Cricetulus griseus: one gene and its partners. The protein of the gene in region 3 interacts with the protein of the main gene of each other region in a biochemical or structural test. Links are inferred from orthologs where the notes say so. Each region holds a gene or a part of one and is shown on either strand. Other genes may lie near its edges.

What was found. The genes of interacting proteins can lie anywhere in the genome.
Region 1: the proteins of Stx4 (region 3) and Snap25 form a complex in vitro, tested with the Homo sapiens proteins (3 studies listed by BioGRID). The link is inferred for Cricetulus griseus from reciprocal best matches to the Homo sapiens genes STX4 and SNAP25.
Region 2: the proteins of Stx4 (region 3) and Snap23 form a complex in vitro, tested with the Homo sapiens proteins (4 studies listed by BioGRID). The link is inferred for Cricetulus griseus from reciprocal best matches to the Homo sapiens genes STX4 and SNAP23.

The regions. Positions count from the first base shown.
Region 1 is NC_048599.1:41,903,322-41,910,846, reverse strand, and holds the start of Snap25 (synaptosomal-associated protein 25), read left to right. Parts: upstream 1-3,316; coding exon 3,317-3,388; intron 3,389-5,369; coding exon 5,370-5,411; intron 5,412-7,525.
Region 2 is NC_048599.1:57,909,577-57,917,127, reverse strand, and holds the start of Snap23 (synaptosomal-associated protein 23), read left to right. Parts: upstream 1-3,342; 5' UTR 3,343-3,429; intron 3,430-7,551. UniProt on the Homo sapiens protein: Essential component of the high affinity receptor for the general membrane fusion machinery and an important regulator of transport vesicle docking and fusion.
Region 3 is NC_048596.1:72,930,320-72,938,109, reverse strand, and holds the start of Stx4 (syntaxin-4), read left to right. Parts: upstream 1-2,639; 5' UTR 2,640-2,770; coding exon 2,771-2,800; intron 2,801-2,961; coding exon 2,962-3,063; intron 3,064-3,119; exon of another isoform or gene 3,120-3,141; coding exon 3,142-3,241; intron 3,242-3,382; coding exon 3,383-3,457; intron 3,458-4,318; coding exon 4,319-4,389; intron 4,390-7,583; coding exon 7,584-7,692; intron 7,693-7,763; coding exon 7,764-7,790. UniProt on the Homo sapiens protein: Plasma membrane t-SNARE that mediates docking of transport vesicles. Necessary for the translocation of SLC2A4 from intracellular vesicles to the plasma membrane.

The DNA.
Region 1 (7,525 bases), on a different chromosome or scaffold from region 3:
GGAATACAAGAACATCTACCACATGGCTTCTCTACCAGCCTGCCACCTGCCCATCAACTAGCCCCTGGCAGGTTGCTGGCAGCCTGGAGCCAGGAGCATACAGCTGTTCTTCTCCTGCTAAGAATAGCAAATTTGAAAGATCACCAAGGAAACACAGAGAGAGAGAGAGAGAGAGAGAGAGAGAGAGAGAGAGAGAGAGAGAGAGAGAGAGAGAGAGAGCTCGTCCACGACTAAGCCCAGAAGAGTGGGAAATGGCAGTTTACTATAGGGTTGAAAGCACATGAACCCTGCTTTCTAATACAGTGACCAACTAAGAGTAAAAGCCGGTAATAGCTCATTGAAGGAGAAGATGACACAAGAAAGAACAAACATCACATTACAAAGACAGCCAAGGTCAGGTGTGTCCTTGCTTGTTCTCTGGTGGCAGTCCTTGGAGAGTTGCTGCTTGGAGACCAGCACCTCCACACTCTGCTGGTTTCCCTGGTTTCCGCTTCCAGCAGTGCTCAGCTAGCTCCTCAGCAGCATGTCTGATGCCAGCCATTACTAAAGGAAGGAGAGGTACCAGAGCCTAGATTTGTTCTATTCTTAACAGAGGATATGAGGCTACTCTTAACAAAGGGTATGAGGATATTTTACACAAACAGACTGTCTGTATATTAAGGCCTGGCATCCTTAGCAAACAAAGAATTTTCTATAATTGACACACCTATGATGTAAAAGCTCAGAAATGAACTTTAAGCAATAAAGCTCGGGGAAGGTGATGATCTTGCCCACAGCCACTCAGGTCCTAGTTCATACTAGCATTCTTCCTGTTTAGGGTCCCTCCATTAGAAGACTTTCTTTATAAGGCTGGCTAATGCAGGGTGCTAATAATATGTACCACTTCTGCATCCCAGAGGAATTCCATCTTAGCAGCTAAGAAAGTGGTATGACTGTGTCATACACATCCAGTCACATCACTCATGTTGTTAACTATGGAATCATGAGTGTCTCTGGCCAGCAGCCAGCTTTCCTCTCTTCGAGGATTCAAATGACCCAAGTTCCTGCTATCCTGTGGCTCAATCATCCTCTGTTGCCCTGATTTTGCTGACAGGAAAACCATGTGAGTTCAATATCAACTTCTGAATGTCCTCTATTTGACTGGAACACACACCATCTCCATTTAGGTGCCATCTCTAGCTATGTAGCCATCTCCTCAAAAATACTAGAAATGTAATTCTAGCTATACAACCATTCTTCAAAGACCATGTTCTTTGAAAACCAAGAAGAAAGATGCTTGACCATCTCAAATGCAAGTCACAAACCCAGGCCTTCATCACGTATGCTGTCCAAAAAATGTTGGCATAGCCTCAAAGACATCTAAGACTCTTCCTCAGGTCCTTTTGGGGACATTACTCCCTTAGAGGGGCTAACTATGTCCTCATAGGCATGATGCCTGACTCCTGTGCTAAGAATTAAGAATTCCTTCATTTTCTTCTTCCTAATTAGATGTAGTTCTGTGAAGGTGGTGAATTCACCTTTCTTGTTCATCATTGTCTCCCTGACACAATGATGTCAGGTGTGCTCAGTGAGTCCTTGAGAATGAAGAAGGATGGGAAGTAAAGAGAGAAGTGTGGCCAGGCGGTGGTGGCGCCTTTAATCCCAGCACTTGGGAGGCAGAGACAGGTGGATCTCTGTGAGTTTGAGACCAGCCTGGTCTACAAGAGCTAGTTCCAGGCAGCCTCCAAAGCCACAGAGAAACCCTGTCTCGAAAAATCAAAAGAGAGAGAGAGAGAGAGAGAGAGAGAGAGAGAGAGAGAGAGAGAGAGAGAGAGAGAGAGAAGTGTGTTCTGGAAGAATCAGGATCCTCCTATGTGTATGTGTTTCAGAGTGGGCTGGTCACATTTCAAGGCCCTGGGCTCATTCCACTTTGGAATAACAGTTGTTTACCTGCACACAATCTTGACAACCTCTAATAACAATGCTGAATGCTTCTAAATACAATGGGATGTTACACACAAACAAATAGGAATGGTCTAGCAATTGTGCTATCATATGGGAAAATTTCAATATAATACCAAGTGGAAAAGCCAAGTGTTTCATTTATACATAATCCTAAGACATACCAACTATAGTGACAAAAGGGAGGTCAACAGCTTCCTCGACATAGGAGGATGTAGAGAATAGCAGGTAGAATAACAAAGAGTATACAGAAATTTGGTGGGGGATTAATGGACTGGCTCATTTTCTTTTTCAGAGCAGTGGGTTACTGAGTGTTTTACAACTGTATGATTTAGATATGTGCGCTGTATTTAAATGTGTATGTTTTTAAATATGTCAACTGTTTCTCAATAAAACTGTTAAATATAACTAAATAAATATAACATTAAAAAATATAAGAACAATGGCCTGCATTGTTCACCACATCATTCCCAAGCTTTGTATGGTTTGCGTCTTTAAAAAAATACTCTAGATGAAGCCATTTATGTTCCTGTGAACCTGCTGTGGTGATATGTTATTTATGATTTATTAAAGCTTGCCTGAGGAGTCAGAAAGCAAAGTCAGCCACAAGCCATAGAAGCCAGGCACACTTCTTTAATCCCAGAAGCCAGAAGCTAGGAAGTGGAGGTACATACCTTTAGTCATAGGACTAAGATTAAGAGGTAAACAGATCTCTGTGAGTCCAAGACGACCCAGATCTACACAAGAAGTATCCAGTCCTAAAGAGAGAAACAGCTCACATAAAGATGATCCCAGCACCTGGGATCACACACCTTTAATCCCAGCATTAGGAAGGTATATAAGACAGGAACTAGGTCTCAGTGTCAGGTATTCATTCTCCAGCCACATTGAGAATAGGAATGCCTCAGCCTTGTTAGAGGTAAGAGCACTTTGGTAGCTTGACTGCTTTGCTTCCCTGATCTTCAGGTTGAACCCCAATATCTGTCTCTGGGTCCATTTATTTTTCATGTTACAACCTGTAATTGAAACACTCAGAAGCTGAAGCAGAAAGATGGTGAGCTCAAGGCCAACCTGGACAACAATGCCAAGCTATCATAAAACATACCAATATGTGACTGTTTTAGTGATGGGGTTGATAAAACACTCATTCCCAGTACTTTTTGGAGAAATGACACAATTCTATTGATTCTTATCTGCGCTTGGCTTCCAGTTCAGAAGTTATCTAAACCCTGGTGACAGTGTGACACTTAGACTTTCCAGTATGCAGTCATTCATATTAGCTCTCATATTCTCCAATATGCTTCTACTCAGGTTCTGTAGCCAAATCCATTGCTGACTTGCTGGTCCAGGTGCCCAGCAACCCCCTACCATTACCATGGCCGAAGACGCAGATATGCGCAATGAGCTGGAAGAGATGCAGAGGAGGGCTGACCAGCTGGCTGATGAGGTAAGGCATAGAGAGGCAGGGGGCAAGCCCAACACTGGAAGGTGGGTGGTTTCAATTCAGATTTTGAGAAAAGAATTCTTCAATGTCTAATTTTTTTTTTAAGGTGAAAAAAGAACTTCCTTTTTCTCTAAGATTCCTGCAGGCTAGACAGGATTGATTATAAGGCGCAAATACAAATTAACATCTCAGCCCTGAGGCAGGACTCCTAGACACTTGGGAGGGCAGGGTCCTCTAGGAAAAACTTTATCTTTAGATACCTAACAGTATGCCATGGTTACCTCAGTAATGAAGGTTACTAAGTGTGGCTATTACTAAAATTGAAGTACATAATTTGAAAATAAATATATATAATTAAAGCAATGGTATTATGAGCTCAAAAGTCATTACTTGTAGCTAGTTTAGCACATTTTTTCTGCTATCTATGCCCTTGAGTCATTTACACTCACTGTATGTAAGAAATGGAAACTGCAGAGTCAGTTTACCACACTGCACTCAGAAACCAAATCAAAAGCAATTATTGAGAACCAGTCATTGGCAAACAATATCAGTTGTGCTTGCTTTATTGTTTGTTGATTACCTATAGTTAAGACAGAAGGGAAAATATTAATAATCTAGATAAAACTTTTTAATTATGTATGTCTGTAGCTATTACATTAAGAAAATAATATACAGAGTTGGGTGGGGAGGGAGGGTTGGATCAGGGAGGAGCTAGGGGTAAGAGTGGAAGAGGTGAATATGATCAAAATTCATTGTAAGGCATTCTCAAACAGTAAAAATGTTTTTGAAATATAAGAAATTTTGAGGAAGTCCTCCATTATTTGGAAACTTATTTTTCAACAAAAACATCACCTTCTTTACTAATGAGACTAATTCTAACATTAAGTCGTCACTGCTTCAGGTTCTTCTTATTCATGAACATGAGTGAAGTTATCCAGTTGCAGTGACCATGTTAGAATTATACTAGTTCATCATATGAGGAGTCATAGATAGACAACACACACACACACACACACACAAAAAAAAAAAAAACTGACAGGAGTTTTGGGTGAGAATCAACCTGCTACACAGAACTGCTAACCAAGGATGCTGTGTTGCATCATGTGTCAACTCTGTGCTCTCTGTGTTTCACAGCCTTACAATAGATGCAAAGATACATAAATGTATTTATATTTTTTCCCAGAGTCAGAGCATTTTGCCAACACATCACTGATAATAGCTATTTTATTACAAAAGGGAGTCCACTTTAAGTCCATTGCAGCAAAAATTCACATCCTTCAGGCTCCTGCAGAAACTTGTCCAACATAAATTTGCTATTTGAAAGCATGGTTTTGAGAAATCACACTGGTTGTTGCAGTGGAGCTATGTTAAAGGAACTGAGAACAAAGTGGTGATGCTGTGCCTGAGGGACCAGCTGCCAAGCTCAAAGCTTTCTTCATGCTTTTTTTCTTATCTAAAAATGAAGGTAATTACAGCTGTCTCCTATGGGATAGTTATTGCAAACTTGCTTGATTTTTTTTCACCCTAAGGCGACAGCTTAATTTGTATTGATAACAACTTCCAGTTGTGTTTCAAGGAGTTTTAAAGGAAACTCGTTAAACTCATCTCTCCTCATGAAAACTTATGTTTGTGTTTAAAATTCAATATCCCTAGTTCAGGGAGGCCAAAGTAGTCCTTGAAGTATATGAGATAGTTTTCCAGGCATCCAGAGCATACAAAATGATTTGTCCAGATTGCTTTGCCTTTGATATCAAGATCAGCCTCATATGGTTTTGGTTTTATAAAGATAAGCTTTCATATGATTGCTCTGGGAAATCTGATCATGTAGAAAGAGATTGAAACTGGGAAGACATTTGGTGTTTCTGTTGCAAAGTGTAAGTCATGTGTGATAGGGACCTTTGTGTTTCTCATGTGAAGAAAGCATTTCTGACTTGCCTAGTGCTCTGTTAGTGCCTTTAACAGTGTTTATGTTTTTCCATCTTAGTCCCTGGAAAGCACCCGTCGCATGCTGCAGCTGGTTGAAGAGGTAAGGAGTGGATTCTATTAACATAAACTAGGTCCCTATGTTGACATGTTCATTCCTAGCTCCTATTGTTTTTCCCTAAACCATGGCTCCCTGGCTTCCAATATGAACATAGCGTATCAGAAAATACTGGAGATTTTGGCATGAGTTGTTAGCTAGTTATCAAGGTGACCTCACCACCCTCCAGCCTAGGCTACCTCTGCAGTGCATAGTACAGAGAAACCTACTATTTCTAAGCTCCTGTTCCCAACAGTCACAAAAGTGGGTCCCAGTAAGCAAAGTGGTGCTTAATCTATGAAGGAATTACCTACATAAAAGTCTTCATTTGTAATGATTTTGTTGCAATATATTACAGCTAATCTAAAATTCTTTTCTGACTCCAACTATATTTATAACTTTGAAAAATATGTATTTATGCAAGCATATCATCTTTTGAAATTGTTGTATTTAGTGTCCAGCACGAAAATCTAAGAAAAAATAGCAAAAATCTTAAACAAAGAGAAAAATCTAGTCCAATTAAGTAAATATAAAAGTTCTTTTATGTGACTGACTCTGAATTGCACATCCATTTCTAAAGCATTTGTAATTCATGGTTTAATGAATCCCAAACCATTTTTAAATGGATAAAATAGGGCAGATAGCAATAATGGAATCAAAAAAGCATTTGCAATAAAACCTACTCATTCCAATTTGGTAGAACAGCAGTCAACCAGGAAGAATAAATGGATTAATTGAACTTGCCCATTGGGAGAGATGGAGTTGAAAAAGAATGGGCTGGACTGTATTTATCTTAACCTAATAAAACAAGCCTAATGGTTTTTATTCAGCAAGATGCTGCTTTAGCCACAGTTTCAATGTGACTGCTTATCAATGTATAAATTCATGTGTGATTATCTTTTCTAGAGATCTTGGGCTTTCTCTGGCAGAATGATTAAATGAGCCTATTCACCCACCCTATGCTACTATAAATTGCTTATGCAATGACATGAAAGGGAAAGAAAAAAAGAGATGAATTTTACAAAGACTTAGAGAAAAGCCAGCTGCCTCTTACAGCATTGGAGCAAATGCTGTTTTCCTTTATTCCTGAAGCTGCAGCTCCTCACCTAGGGGTGAAGTGTGGCTAAAGGTGAATGACCACAGGAAGAGTGGGAAGAAGTAATGATTCCTTCACTGAAAAAAAAAGTCTGTTATTTCAAAAATAACAAACTGAGCTTGCATTGCAGCACAAATGGGCCTCCACAGAGAGGCAGGCCTACAGGGCCTCAGCAGCATAGCCAAGCAGCCTTCTACTCTAAATGAAGGGAAGTGTCTGATTTTCTCTGGTCTAGGGACACTACTCATATGGAAATGCTTAAATACCAAGAAGGAGGCAAATAGCCCAATCCAGGAGTGCTGGCCATTTGGCATTAATGTGTTATTTTCCAATGTGTTGCAAGCAAAACACAAAAAAGAGCAAGAGCTTGGAACATTTTTACATGAGCTGAGATTAACATGAAGGGAGCTCACTATTTAATGGCTATAATTATTTTATTGTATGCTACATTATTATCACAACATAGTTCATGACCTACAACCAGAGAACTCACTTTTCACTTTCTTATGTAAATACATGTATATATGATTGCGTTCCTCTAGCTCTTTCCAACTTGCTCAGTTGTGCGCTGTTGAAACTTTGCTCAGACTATGGAACACAGTGGAATAAATGCATTGGAATGCACCCCTTTAAACTAGCCCTTTGTCCTTCAAAATCTTGCGAACATGAACCCTTCTCTCTTGCATGTCTTCTCAAAATGAAAGTAGTGTCAGCCTGTCTTGCAAAAAATCTGTTTGCTCTAATTTATTCTAAGAATAAAAGCTCCATTGATTGAAGTAGGATTCTCGAATTGTATGTTTTTGTTTCTCCTAAATTGTTTCTCGATCAAGCATGAAGTTGAGTCTCAGATCAAGGAATGAAAGAGATGGGTGAAATCTCTTCCATCTAATAAGTAAGAGGAGGCTGTTAGACATTTCATCCTCAGGAAATTGTGAGCAGGGCATTATTAGAGTAGACTGGATTGCTCTTACTTCCTCCTGGGTCATTGTATATTTATAGTGAAACATTCCTCATGTCTAGGGCA
Region 2 (7,551 bases), on a different chromosome or scaffold from region 3:
GTTTTTATTTTGTTTGTTTTTTGAGATAGGGTTTCTCAGTTGCTTTGGAGCCTGTCCTGGAACTCACAGAGATCCACTTGCCTCTGCCACCTGAGTGCTGGGATGAAAGGCGTGTGTCACCACCTCCTGTCCACAAATGTTTTTAAAACAAAAAATAGACAAGCCAGGTATGGTGGTGCTCACTTGTAATTTCAGCACTTGGGAAGTACATAAAGATTGGAAAATCAAAAGCGGTGGTGGCGCACAGCCTTTCATCCCAGCACTCAGGAGGCAGAGGCAGGCGGATCTCTGTGAGTTTGAAGTCAGTCTGGTCTACAAAGGTACAAAGAGAAACCCTGGGGGAGGGGGGCGGGATGGACGGTGATCAAGACTGCCTCATTACACATGAGAGGCCAGCCTCAGCTTCATGAAACCCTACCTCAAAGAAAAAAACAAAAATCAGTAAGAACACACACACACACAAAAACCTGAGTATTGAGTAGTATGGATAGGGATAAAATACAGAACTGGGAATACAGTCCACTCACTGGTAGCATACTTGCCTAGCAAGGCGAGGCCCTACTACATTCAGTTCCCAACACTACAAACCAAATAACTAAAAACAGCATAGCAAATTTTAGTAACACATTAAAATCCAAGTGACAGGGCTGGAGAGGCTAAGAGCAATGCTGGCTGGCCTTGCAAAAGACCTAAGATCTGTTCCCAGTACCCACATGGTAGCTCAGTCATCTGTAACCCTAGTTTCAGGGGATCTGAAATCCTCTTCTGGCCTCGGGTTCAGGGAACATGTTGCATACATATACACATACACAGGCAAAACCCTCATAAATAAAACAATCTTTAAAATCCAAGTGAAAGCTGAGCTTAGCAGTTCAGAGCAGCACTCTTCCAAAAGACCTGGGTTTGATTCCCAGCTCCCATATGGTTGGCTCAAAACAATGTGTTAACTCCAGTTCCAGGGGATCTGATGCCCTCTTCTGGCCTCTGCAGGCACTGTGCACAAATGTAGTACACAGGCATACATACAGGCTAAACACCCATACACAGAAAATAAAATTTTAAAAATTAAAAACAATAATCTGAGTTTTTATTTTTTCTGGTTGCTTACAACTTAAACTCTGGAACCACTGAACAATAAATTCTCACTTCTACTTTCCATCCTGAGAGACATTCTACAGTTTCAGTTGATTCTGACTACTTTCCACACTCTATGTCCTTATATGCAAAGCATACATGCATGTATGTATATACATGTACATATACTTAAAATCGTCACTATTGCATACCTTCTTGACACCGTTACTTTCACTTAAGAGTATCGTGGAAATCATTCAATATCAGCACAGAGAGTTGGTTCATTCTAACAAATGCACAAACGTAACAAGTCCTCCAATATACACATGGAAACTATTTTTCCACGTCTCTTTCAGATTACAACAGCAACAGACTGCAAATTTTTAGTGTAACTGTTTAGGGTTCTCACTCATTGGACACACAAATACTAAACTTCCCCTTTGGTAACCCAATTATAAAACACAGTCTGTACAGTTCTCACCAAGTCATCCTGGAACGCAGAACCACTCAATGCTCCTTGCTTTTCTTATAGACTAGCCTTGAATTTGTTCTCATCTGGATATATAAGAGCTATCAACGTTTTTCTTTTTAAAATACCTTCCTTTCTATCAAAGCAATTTGTTTCTGAACTAGCTTGATGAAATCGATTCACACCTTTCCTCTGTTTTGAAGCTCTCTTCAAAATCTATCTGGACACTTTCTCTAGTTAAAAGCTAAGATGAGCATATACTTGTAATCCCAGCCCTCTGTGACTGAACTCAGGATCTCAAATTCAAGGCTAGTCTGGACTATATAGGCCAGATTCTAACTAAAAAATAAAAAACAAAACAAAATCTGTTTTCTAGGCTCAATAGTTAACTTCAGTTCACTTTCCAAACAGGAGTACTTAGAACATCTAACTTGGTGTAACAGAAAAAGATGAACTTTGTTATCACCTGAGAGGAAGTTTAGTAGTCCACTAACGGTAAATCAGCATCAGCATCTCAGCAAACTGAAAAGTACTGCCAAAAAATCATCTATTATAATATTGCATTAAATTTCTGTGACACACCTGAATGTAGAGTTCTAGCATAATAGATGCTAAGTAAACCCTAGTTGAATCTGATTATCTACTCTACTCTTTCATTCTTGGCCAAACTTGAGAACAGAGAATTACATTTTTAAGATTCTCCATTGGAAGCCAGGCCTTTAATCCCAGCACTCGGGAGGCAGCGTTGGGGATCTTTATGAGTTCGAGGCCAGCCTGGAAGACTGAGCAAGTTCCAAGACAGCCCCCAAAGCTACAGAGAAACCCTGTCTGGGGGGGTGGGGGTGATTCCCCCATGGGGTTTTAGAACCGGATTTGGATCTTATATTCAATATTAAAAGGTATCTTGTCTTGAATTACCTCAATATAAACCATCATGATGGCTATAGCTCTAATCTGCTAAGAGAACTTCCTTAACTGGTTCTAATTTGTTAAAAAACAAAGAACGAAAACAAGACCGAAATCTCGGAACTTCACCAACAAGATGGCTCATTTTACTCTCAAAGATGACTACACTGAACAGATTGAAGTGGGAGGCGATGCAAGCATCTCTTCGTAACTACGCACCGAGATTTACTAAATATTAAATAGATACATAGCGTTCCATTAGTTGCTAGTACATTAATAAGCAGAGACCTCAAAAGCAGGGGGGAAAAAAAAAAAAAAAAAGAGGCTAGACTGTCAGTCTGGTGAGGCGGGAGGGTCCTGGCCTGAAACCCGCAGCCTTTAAATACCAGACTAAGGCTGAGAGTCCTCCTAGACCCCAGGCCCAGAGGTCAGGGCCCGTCCCAGAGGTCAAAGATCTGGAGCCACGCGTCCAGACTGAGGGGCTGCGAGCAGAATCCCCTGAGAGAGTCTGTGTACCCTGAAGCCAGGTGCACCGCTCGCCCATAAACTCTAAAACCACGCGGGCCAGAAGAGGTACGGTGGCATTGCTTGAGTGCAGGCGCAGCTCCCACCACCTCCCACCATCCGACCCTCGGCCTCCCATACGCCCCACCAGGCCGGGCCCTCCATACTCACACTCACTGCCCGTCCTTCCTACGCCATCAGGCCGCCGAGGGCCCGGCGAGGGAGCTCCCAGATGCCCCCTTAGCCTCCGGTCCGGCGGCGGCCTGGGACCCGCTCCCCGCCGGGCACTGACGCCGCCGCCGCCGCCGCGCCGCCGCGCCGCCGCCGCCGCCGCCAGCGCGCAAGCGCACGTAGTCCGGCGCGCTCCCTCTCCCCCCACCCCATCCGCCCCTTTCAACCATCTAGCTTTATTTGAACATAAGAAGTGAACAACGGACACTGGGCAAGAGGTCTTCAAAACGCCAAGAACAACCGAAGTAGGTCCCTTTGCGTAAAGCTGTCCGCTTCACTTCCCATTTCGCCCTTCTACTTTCCAAACCCTCCGCCTGTCTTACCTAAATTTCAAAACTTTTCCTTCTTCGTGAAACTTTTGAACAGATAGACCTAGACCCCAAGTTAGACACGGTAGCTCACCCCACATTCTGGAGGTTGAGAGAGGAGGGTCAACGCGAGTTCAAAGCTAGCCAGGGCTACATAGTTTCTGGGCTACGAAGCGAAACTCTGTCTCAATAAAAACAAAACTAAATGTAAATCTTTTTTTTTCTTTTTCGAGACAGGGTTTCTCTGTGTAGCTTTGGAGCCTAAATGTAAATCTTACCCTAGCATTTATTTATTTTCGTTTTGTTTTTTGAGACAAGGTTTCTCTGTATATCCCTGCTGCCTTCGAATTTGCTCTATGTAATCAAGCCTGGCCTAAAACTCAGAAATCTGTCCCCTAATACGAGGGGTGGATTTGCTGGGATTACAGGTGTTCGCCTCTACTGTCCAACAATAATTCTTGACTTTTTTTAAGATTTATTTATTATGCATACAGTGTTCTATCTGCCTGCGCGACAGAAGAGGGCACCTGATTTCATTACAGATGGTTGTGAGCCACCATGTGGTTGCTGGGAATTGAACTCAGGACCTCTGGAAGAGCAGCCAGTGCTCTTAACCTCTGAGCCATCTCTCCACCAGTCCCTAATTCTTGACTTTAAATGATGTTTTCTTTCTTCCTTCCTTCCTTTTTTTTTTTTTTTTTTTTTTTTTTTTTTTTTTTTTGGTTTTTCGAGACAGGGTTTCTCTGTGGCGTTGGAGGCTGTCCTGGAACTAGCTCTTGTAGACCAGGCTGGTCTCAACCTCACAGAGATCCACCTGCCTCTGCCTCCCCAGTGCTGGAATTAAAGGTGTGCTCCACCAATGCCCGGCAATTGATGTTTTCTTGGAATGTCAGTTTTTAGAGTTAAAATTAGGATGTTTTGTAGCACTGTAAATAAATGACTGATACTAGGGTTCAGGCTTCAAGCTGAAGATCAGAAAAGTAAATCAGCCGGTCACTAGCTTTTACCTCTACCTCAGCTCAAACCAAAGGGGCAATCCTCAAACTGCTCTCAACTTCACTACTCCTCAGATTCATTCAGACTGCTATGCTGTCCTCAACGTGGCTAGAGACTAATACTTTAGACCCTGCTTCTATCTTTTATACCTCTCTAGTGCTGGGATTAAAGACGTAAATTCTGTTACTCTTAGATTGATTCAATCTTGTGTAGTTCTGGGTGGTCTTGAACTCAGAGAGATCTATCAGCCTTTGTGTCCTGAGTCTTGGAATTAAAGGTATGTACCACCACTGCCTGATCTCTGTAGCTTGAGGCTGACTTTGCTTTCTGATTCCTCAGGCAAGCTTGAATAAATCATAAATAATATATCACCACAATGTTTAATTTATTATTAAAATTTGAGCATCCCTATTCTTTTGGGATCCTGTTATAGTGATTATAATAAACAGTTACACTGCAGTTGATAATGAGCAGTGCAACTTCTATATGATTGAAACCATTTCCATTTAAGAAAACTATCAGAGCCACACGTGGTGGTGCTCACCTTTAATCCCAGCAGAGGCAGGCAGATCTCTGTGAATTTTAAGGCCAGCCTGGTGAGTTCCAGGACAGCCAAGGCTACACAGAGAAACCCTGTCTGGAAAAACCATATCCCCCAAAAAGAAAGGAAGGAAGGAAGAAAGAAAGAAAGGAAGGAAGGAAGGAACTATCAAAGCCTCAAATCAAAATAAACAGCTACCTTCATTTATGTGTGAATCCAGATTCATTCTAAAGGTTTATGAGAGTCTTCCAATTGTGTATTTGTGACATCACAAGTCCTTGAAGCATTCAAGGTCTGATGTACTGCTCATTCTATTTAAAGGCATGCATGATACAGAACTGCTTTGCTCTGTAAATTCAGAGCCATAGTCCAAGGGAAAGCCAATATAGGTGAGGATCAAAGTAACTCTAGATCAAGATTTCACAACTTTAAAACATCAACATTATCAGTTGCTGACTAGTGCATTCTAAGATAATGCTCCCCCAACTCTCCAGACCCTGCCCAATGTCCCCTGGAGGGCAAAAATTACCCTTTTCTGAGAACTACAGTATTATATCCATGACCATCCCAACCCTAAATGAATTCAGCCATATATTTTCTTCATCCCTGCCCTTAACAAGTGATTTGAGACAGATGAGCAAAACAGAAACTGCTGAGTTCATTTCTACAGGGAGTAAACAAGCAGTTTATAGTGCTTATCTGTCCTCTTCTCTGATCAGTTTTGGTTATCACATTCTATAGCCATACCTCCAAGCTTCTCAATTCCCTTATACTTGCAGCCAACTTTCTAATCAGCAGAGGATCTATCTCTGACTTCTCAGAAAACTTAACGTTTCTAAACCTACAGGCTTATCAATACATTTCGTCATTATAATTGAGAATATTTCTCCCTCCCCAACTCTGTGGGTTGGTCTCTTTTCCATGAATGTTCTTTTCATGTCAGTGTCTAGGGTTATTTATTTTTACATCTATTGTGTGTGTGTGTGTGTGTGTGTGTGTGTGTGTGTGTGTGTGTGTGTGTGTGTGTAGAACCATTCTTGCCATCTGGTACATACACATCTATAGAGAAGTCAGAGGACATGCAACCTGTGGGCTCCAGGAATGGAAATCAAGTGTTCACACTTGATGGCCACTGCCTTTGCCTGATGAACCATCTTGCCAGCCTCAGTCCTCTGGGCTTTATTGTTTGTTTGTTTGAGACAGAGTCTCAGGTAGCTAATGTTATCCTCAAAATTATTTTATAGTCTGTGATGACTATGTACCAGTCTCATGACGCTGAGATTATAGGCTTATGCCACTATCCTAGATCTCCTATCAGTTTGATTTTTTAAAAATTTATTTTTATTTTACATGTATGGGTATTTAGCCAGCATGAATATCTGTGTACCATCTTTGTGGTGTTTGTGGAGGCTACAGGAGGGTGTGGATCTCCTGGAACTGGAATTACAGTTGTGAACTGCTAGGTGGGTGTTGGAAACTGAATTTATGTCCTTTGGAAGAACAGCTATCTCTCCAGCCCATGATTTTATTTTATTTATTGATTTTTGAGACAAGGTATTGCTATGTAGTTCTGGCTGACCTGGAACTATGTAGACCAGGCTGGCCTCAAACTCACAAAGATCCCATTGCTTCTGCCTCCTGAGAACTGAAATCAAAGGTGAGTATCACCAACTCCCATCAGTGGTTTGAGCAATTCAGTTCTAACCCTCTCAAAATCTTTATCTAGATTATCACATACAGCCTTTTGTAAATTCAATTGTTTTTCTCAGTTGAGTCTTTTCTCCCGTGCTCAACTTTTCCTGTCTTAATTCTAACAAATTAAAAACAAATGAGACACATCATTCTTCCCTTTTCTCTGACAAGGTCAAAGTTTTCAAAAGCATTTTATAACCTGTCCTGATTTCTCTCCCTTCTCCAAACTATTGCTGTGTTTGTCAACTATCACCATTCCCCTGTGTTATTAAATTCAAAAGCGCTTATCAGTCCTCTTCTCTGGTCAGTTTTGTTTATCACATTCTACAGCCATACCTCCAAACTTTTTTATTCCCAAGAGTGCCAGCATTTTGCTTTACTCTTAGAGGTGACTGGAAGAATTCTTGGGTCAAGTGGTTTAAAAACCTTTCAGTAACTCAATGGCTATAAAATGAATTCTAGGCTCATTATTCCAAAATTTACAAGACCTCTGGCCCTCTCTCTAGCTTGATTTCGAGCTCTGCTGGCTATGGACTCAGGGCTAAGCTTCACCTGTGCTATTTAAGTGCTCTACCTTTCTCTCTTACCCACAGTTAGGCCCTACTCTTTCTTCCTCCTCTGGTGTTGGTGTTGAAATAGGACCTCAATATGTCGTAAGTCTGACTTTTCACTCCAGAGGTCAGGTGATCCTCCAACCCTCAGCCTCTGAAATAGCCTGATAGCCTGAGCTATCACACCTTCAGCTTTCTCTTGACTGAGAAAGAGAACTCTTAAAACTTCTAACAAGAATAAACCTCAAGAAACTTCCAGAAGGCACCGCGTTGTTCTTG
Region 3 (7,790 bases):
CAGAAGAGATATACAGGATTGGCAAAACTGCTGCCTGAGCACCTGGTGCACAGTGGGGCTCGGAAGGAAGATCCTGGACAATCGGCAGAGTGGAATTTCTGGCACAGACTTTGGGCTACTGAAATCCTCAGTGGAACAGTCTCCACCATCATCACCATCTAGCAATAGCAAGCACACTCGACAGCCACAGTGGGCACCATTCTATTCTTGTTTCTTATTTAATACTTATCAAACACTAGGAGTTTAATGCTATTGCTCTCCTTTCCTTTTCAGATGGGAACTAAAGCAGAGAGGTTAAATGACTTGCCTCATAGAGCTGAATGAGCAGGAATCCCAGCCCAGGTCATCTGGTGCTGGGGTTGGGAGGATCAGACCTGAGGCAGTGAGGACAGGACAGGCTGCTAGCCTCAGGACCATGGACAGCTTGAGTTTCAGACAGAACGGAAGAAGTATATACTCTACTAATACTTACACACCCAAGACCCACTATATAAACCTGGGACTCAAGGCTACAAAGGGCCTAGGCGGAACACAGCATTCAGCGGAGGCAAACATCACTCCACTTGGGGGCTGTCAGCATCATGAGACCTTGACAGTCAGAAAATACTGAGGTCCCAGTGTCCTAAACCTTAAGTTATCATCTTAATACCTGTGATCACACCCAGAGACCACAAATGAAATAATAGTGAATATTATAAGCCTGAGATGCTTTAATAGAAGCACCAAAAACTCCACACTGCCGCTGGAGGCCAAGAGGCTGGGAAATGGGCAGGTATGATTGAAAGGCAGAGAGAGAGAGAGAGAGAGAGAGAGATAGAGAGAGAGAGAGAGAGAGAGAGAGGCAGAACTCACAAGCTCACAGCAGCAAAGCTCACATAAGAGCTTTAACAGTCTACAAGACCTACCACATCTTTCCTAACCTTTCTTGATGTCCTCCAATCCTTACCCTAAGCAAGGAAGAAACTGTCAGACCAAGATGTCAAGAGGGAAAATTGCATCTCTGAGGGAAACAGTGAGACATTCTCGATCACATACAGGGCTAGGAGACAGGCTAAGGTCACCTCCCGACTCGCCCCCCCTTGTAATACTAACAGAGAGTCAGAGGGAGGGGATGAGTAGGAGGGAAGTAGCAATTGAACAGGGAGGCAGCAGTTAATAGGCAAAGATACCCTTGCAGAATTCATGTTTTGGTTTGTTTTGGGGGGTTCCCCAGGGGCATGGACAAACTGAAGACTTCCATTTGGGGGCTGACAGCATCATGACACCTTGAAAGTCAGGCCCCACAGTAGGCACTTTTCTCCACATTATTTTCAGGGGACCACACTAGGCAGAGCTGGGCCTCCTGAGAAGCCCACCAACACCGCATCCCTCTGCGGGGTGGTCAGGGCCATATTATCCTCACCCCCTCATTTCCAAATCCAGGAGTTTCTAAAGGGAAAAGCATCACAGCCCCACAAGTGCATGGGGTTTTAGTCTGTTGGCTTCTGATGTGTCACCAGCCCCTAAAACATATCTGCTCTATAGTATGTGCCCAATAAATATGTCCAGAGAGACAAACCTGGGGAAATGGGACGGTGAGAGAAGCCACAGGCTTTAGTTTCAGATACATGAAAGGCTCCTATTCGGATCAAGGCTGTGAGGGCCTATTATGTAGCAAGCTCTGAATTTGGTGCTGGGGACTCCGTAAAAGAAAAGCAAGTCATGCTAGGACTTCAGGGCTGCGGAGGTAACAATACATTCCTCTCAGTCTGAGCTGCTCTGAAATCTGAAGGTGGCGAGCTCAGCGGGACTGCAGTGCTCACACAGGGCGTAGGCCGCCCACCTGTCAGAGGCTGTGCCAGGAGGACGCAGGGTGTGTAGGGGGAAGAGTTCCACCTTGGCTGAGGTCACTTCCCACCCCCAGATTGTCTGCCTACAAAACCCTGCAATCCTCTGACGCTGTAGCCTCCGATCTCATTATGTTCTGACTCTCAAGGTCTCGTGATACTGACAGCCCCCAAATTTAAGTCTTCAGATCGCCCACGCCCTAGGGCCCCAAATTAAAACAGAAAGTGAAGTCTACAAGGGTCTCCTCTGTAGGTGGCTGAGAGCTGTCGGTGTACCCCTCCCCACCTTCTGCAAGGGGTACAGCTCAGACTCAGGGGTATCGGGGACGTCGCGAGACTGAAGTCCGAGACGTCGCTGACAGCGCCGGGACACGTGACCGGCTGTCGGGCGTGCAGCCGGCGGAGCGGGGCCAGGTCTGTCACGTGATGAGGGGGCGCCATGGGGTGATGTGAGATACGAGGCTCTCAGACTGCGTGCAAATGACGCATCCCCAACCCTTTGGGCAACTAGATTCCAGTCCCAATATGAGATGTTCCGGTAGAAAGGGGGGGGGGGCGGACGGGCTCTCGATCCAGGCGGCCTCGCTTCCGTTCGGCCGCGACTGCTTCCGACCTCCGCCTTTTCCCCCTAGCGAGGAAGAGACAAGACCTCGTGCGCATGCTCCGAGTCATCCTCCCGAGGGGCGGGGCTGCGGCTGCGGGAGCAGGATGGGGGGAAGAGAAGGGAATTCCAACCTGTAGAACTTTGGGGGTCCTATGGTCGGGTTCTCCCCGGCGACTGTGCATGGTGAAAGGGGCGGGACCTCTGGGGGCTCGTGGGGGCGTTGGGGGTTCGCAGGGTGAGGAAGGGGGTGTCAAGTGAGAGAGAGCTCGTGCAGGACTTCCAAACTTAGAACCTTGAGGCCCTCGGGGCTCAGGTCCAGGGACCGGGCGCTCGGGCCGCCATGCGCGACAGGACCCATGAGCTGAGGCAGGTGAGGAGCTGGGGCCCGGCGGGCGCGCAGGACTGAGGACTCCTGGTTTGGGGTCCGGGAGGGGTGGCTGACGGCCAGGAAGGAAAATCCCGGAAGCCCATAGCTCCTGCGGGGCGAGAACCGCGGCGAGCGAGTGGTGCCAATGACTCCGGCCCTGGCAGGGGGACAACAGCTCGGACGACGAAGATGAGGCTCGAGTCGCGCTGGTGGTGCACCCAGGTACCGCCCGGCTGGGCAGCCCAGATGACGAGTTCTTCCAGAAGGTAAGGCCCGGAGGACCGAGCAGTAGGGAGGACTACAGTACCACTTATGTCTTCAGTTCCCTTGGTGATCCTCTCTAGGTCCAGGCAATTCGGCAAACTATGGCCAAACTGGAGAGTAAAGTCCGGGAGTTGGAGAAACAGCAGGTCACCATTCTGGCCACGCCCCTTCCCGAGGAGAGTAAGCGAAACCCGGGTTCACGTACGCCAGCCCGGTGGATTATGGGGGATGTAGTCCTATATAGATGTTGGCCGGGGGTGGGGTTGGTTTTGGTTTGTGGTGGAGGCTGTGGTTTGGAAGTGTTGGCCTTCTCTCATTTAGGCATGAAGCAGGGCCTGCAGAACCTGCGCGAGGAGATCAAACAGCTGGGGAGAGAGGTCCGGGCACAGCTAAAAGGTGAATGAACTTCAAGGGCCTCAGCCAGATCATCCCCAGTGATTCAGCCCTGATGCTCGTGTATCTGGGGAGTCAAGTGATATATCAGGTCACAGAGCAGGTCTGGGTCTAGGATCTCTGCCCTGTGGCATCTAAGCCTTGGTACTTTGCATATATTACATGCTGGCCTCTCAGATTCCTTTATTACTATTTTTACATCTAAATTCAAAACTACTTGCTGCTACAGTTCTTGAAGCCCAGTGTGTGTTCTTTGAGCAGATGGATGAGGGTTTCTTAGGAGGCTCCTTCACTCTTGTGGGAACCCACTGATGTAATACAAAGAAAAACTTCTCTTAGAAGATCAGAATTAGCCTCCTCCTCCCCCTCCCTCACCTCTTCCTCCTATGTAGACCAGGCTGGCCTCAAATTCACAGAGATCCATCTTTCCCTGCCTTTTGAATGCTGAGATTAAAGGCCTGCCGTAACCAGGTCCAGTTGGCTGATCTCACCCCCTTCTTCCTTCTTTCTTCTTCCTCCTAGTTCCTTCTTTTTTCCTCCTCCTCCCCCTTCCTCCTCCATCATGTGTCACTACTAAAATATATCCCTGCTCATAAGTCACTTTGTAAAAAAAAATCCTACGAAGACAAGAACTTCCTTATTATGTGGCTGGAATGTAGATGTGGCCCTGTATTCTGGTACCCAAACAATTTTTTTTGATTCATTTAAAATTTTTTATTATGTATTTTCAATTTTTTAATTATTTTTTGAGACTCAGTAGGTAGATCAGGCTAGCCCAGACAGAAATCAGTTAGCCTCCCAGCCAATTTTTAGAAGTCTCAGGGCAAGCTTTTCTTTCCATCAACCCTCGTATTTCTCCCACAGCCATAGAGCCTCAGAAGGAAGAAGCTGATGAGAATTATAACTCAGTCAACACAAGAATGAAAAAAACCCAGGTTGGTTTCATTTTCCTAGAACTAGGACATTTCATCAAGTGTTTCTTAGATTACTAACTGGTGACTGGGCAACCCTTACAGACCGTTGAATCTGGGATCTCTGTCCTGATGAATTTCCTTTATGCTTATTTGGTCTAGGTAGAGGATCCCAGTCACAAAATTCTCAATCCATTATAACACCATGCCACCGCCATTCAAAGAGAATTTGCTATGTCAGACATGACTCTGTCCTGGCTATGAGAGACATATTTTCCCAAAACTGAAATGGGGAATTTGGACTGAAAAGGGAACAAAGATATTTCTCATGTAGGACTTGGTCACTAATAGCTTTGTTCAGGGAAGAAGAGAGAGAAATAAAAAATGGTAATTAAGAGCACTGGTTGCTCTTCCAGAGGCCCCAGATTTAATTTCCAGCACCCACATGGCAGCTCACAACCATCTGTAACTCCAGTTCCAGGGGATCTAACACTCTCACATAGACATACATGTAGGTAAAACACCAATGCACATAAATCAAAGAATAATAATAAGAGCCAAGTGTGAAGGCAGAGGCAGGCGGATCTCTGAGTTCGAGGCCAGCCTGATCTACAGAGAAACCCTGTCTTGAATAACCAAAAATAAATAAATAAATGATAAATAAATGTAAGTTAAAATGACAAGCAAGGACATCCTTGGCCCCATAGATAGAATTTAAGAGATGGCGAGGGGCTGCAAGACGGATCAGTGGGTAAAGGTGTCTGCTTCTAAGCTTTATAACCCAATTCAGCCCCAGGTCCATGGGGTGCAGAGAACTGACTCCTGGGAGTTGTCCTCTGATTTCTACACATGTGCCATGGCACACATGCCCTGCCCCGTGCATACACAGTAAAGACATATATTAACGTATGATGTAGGGACTGGAGAGATGGCTTAGCACACACCACTTTTGCAGAGGAACTGAATTCAGCTGTTCCCAGCTGTGACCTATGTCAGGTGGCTCACAACCATCTGTAACTCCAGCTCTAGGAAGAGGCCCTCCACCTCCTTGGATACCACAGATGAAGGCACATAATAAAATATATTTTTAAGAACATTTGTAGCCGGGCGTTGGTGGCGCACGCCTTTAATCCCAGCACTCGGGAGGCATAGGCAGGCGGATCTCTGTGAGTTCCAGGCCAGCCTGGTCTCCAGAGTGAGTGCCAGGATAGGCTCCAAAGCTACACAGAGAAACCCTGTCTTGAAAAACAAAAACAAACAAACAAACAAAAAGAACATTTGTAAAAGGAAGAAGAGGAATTCTGGTGGAGAAGAAGTCATGCCAGGCAGTGTCTGAGTGAGGAGATTTCACGTGACTTGACTGGGCCCCTCTGGTGCATGGTGAAGAGTGCTTGGGATTTATGGAGGTCAGGTTTGGAGTAGGTAGGCATCTTGAAAGGGCGCAGGAGTGGGGATTCAGGAGAATAAGCTTATTTAAGGAATCAGGAGAGGGATGGGGGATAATGCACCATAAGAGTGGACCTGTGGTAGCTGTGGTATGAGAACATCTTGTTGTTCCATGCCAGTAGCGTGGTGCCATTGCAGTCCATGAGTGTACCTGCAGTCTAAACAGCAATGCTGCTCTTCAGAAGCTTTCAGCAGATGCACACTGAGTACCAGTGTGCCAGACTTTTAAACTAAAAATTCTACCGTTAAGATGTTTACATTCTAGTGAGGCAAGACAGTCACCAAATAAGTGTTTTACTTTTTGTTTATTTGAGTCAAGATCTCACTGCGCTGGAACTCACTATGCTGAGGTATCCTTGATTCTGCCTTCCAGTGCTGTAATTAAAGGAGTTGGCCACCCCACCAGGCTTACAAAACAGCATAAAAAGAGGGAAAGTGCTGGCCCGGGGAAGGAGTGTAATTTAAATGAGGGGAAGAGTAGAGCTGAGTGGTAGAGTTTGTGCTTAGCACGCATGAAGCCCTGGTGTCAATCACTAATACTCAGAAAGTATGTGTTTGTTTCTGTGAGTGTGAGTGTGTGTGTGTGTGTGTGTGTGTGTGTGTGTGTGTGCGTGTGTGCACATGCACACCACGGTACTCATGTTGAGGTCTAAGGAATAGGCTTTCCTCCTCCTAGGTGGGGTCTGTCTGCGTCTGCTGCTGCACTAGGAGTCTCTTACCTCTGCCTCCCATCTCACTTGAGGCATGCTGGGATTACAGTGGCACACCACCGCATCTGGCTTTTTACCTGGGTCTGGGATCATTGAAAGTCGGTTGTCATGCTTTCGCAACTAGCATTTTTACAGGCTCAGCCATCTCCCTAGTCCCACCCACCCCCAAATAAATTTAAACAATAAGTAAGGGCTGGGGGTGTCAATCAGTTATTATAGTGCTTGGCTAGCATACACAGGGCCCCAGGTTAGATTTCCACTACTACGTAATGCAGCTCCCTATTGCTGCACACCTATAATAATAGTAGGCCAGCCTGGGCTACATGGGACCCAGTCTCAAACCAAAGAATAGTAGTAATGATTAATAAGATGAAAATCAAAAACTCATAAATAGGTGAAGCCAGACATGGTGCACACCTGTAATCCAGCGTTCAGAAGGTAGACACAGAGGCTCAAGGAGTTCAAGGTCGCCATCAATGAGCTTAAGACCAGCCTGAGCTACCTGAGACCGTGTCTCAAAAACAACTAACCAACAAAAAATAAGGTGGGGCTAGAGACGTGGTTCGGCAGTTAAAAGTAACAGCTGTCTTTCCAGAGAACCTGGGTTCAGTTCTTAGTGCCCATGTGGTGGCTCATAGCCTTCTATAACTCCAGTTCAGGGGTCTGACACCTTCTGGCTTCCATAGGCATCAGGCACATGTCGAGCACTGATGGACATGAAGGCGAAATACCCATACACATAATAGTACAAATTTAAAAAATAAATGATTGAAGACTTAAAGGTGCTTGTGGGGGTGAGCATTCTAGGCAGAAGGAACAGTGTGCTAAGGCCGATGGGAGCATGTTTTGTTGAGAAGAAACTACTAGGGAAGAAGGAAAGAGAAGGAGGTAGTGAGGAGTGGGTGGGAAGAGGCAAAGTCATAGCATAATGGGGGCCCTGGTTAGACCTTTGGCTTTCATTCGGGCAAGTAAAGGAGGCTGCCAAGGTCCCAAGGCGATTATAGCCTCAGCACCTCATGGTAGTAGTTCCTGCTGATGCCCAGCTAGACTTTCTGTTCTTAGCACGGGGTCCTGTCCCAGCAATTTGTCGAGCTCATCAACAAGTGCAACTCAATGCAGTCGGAATACCGAGAGAAGAATGTGGAGCGCATTCGGAGGCAGCTGAAGATCAGTGAGTTGGGATACCTGGCCCTCAGGGCTTGGGAGCATGGTGCAGCTCTGAACTGGCCTTTCCTGTTACAGCCAACGCCGGAATGGTGTCTGATGAGG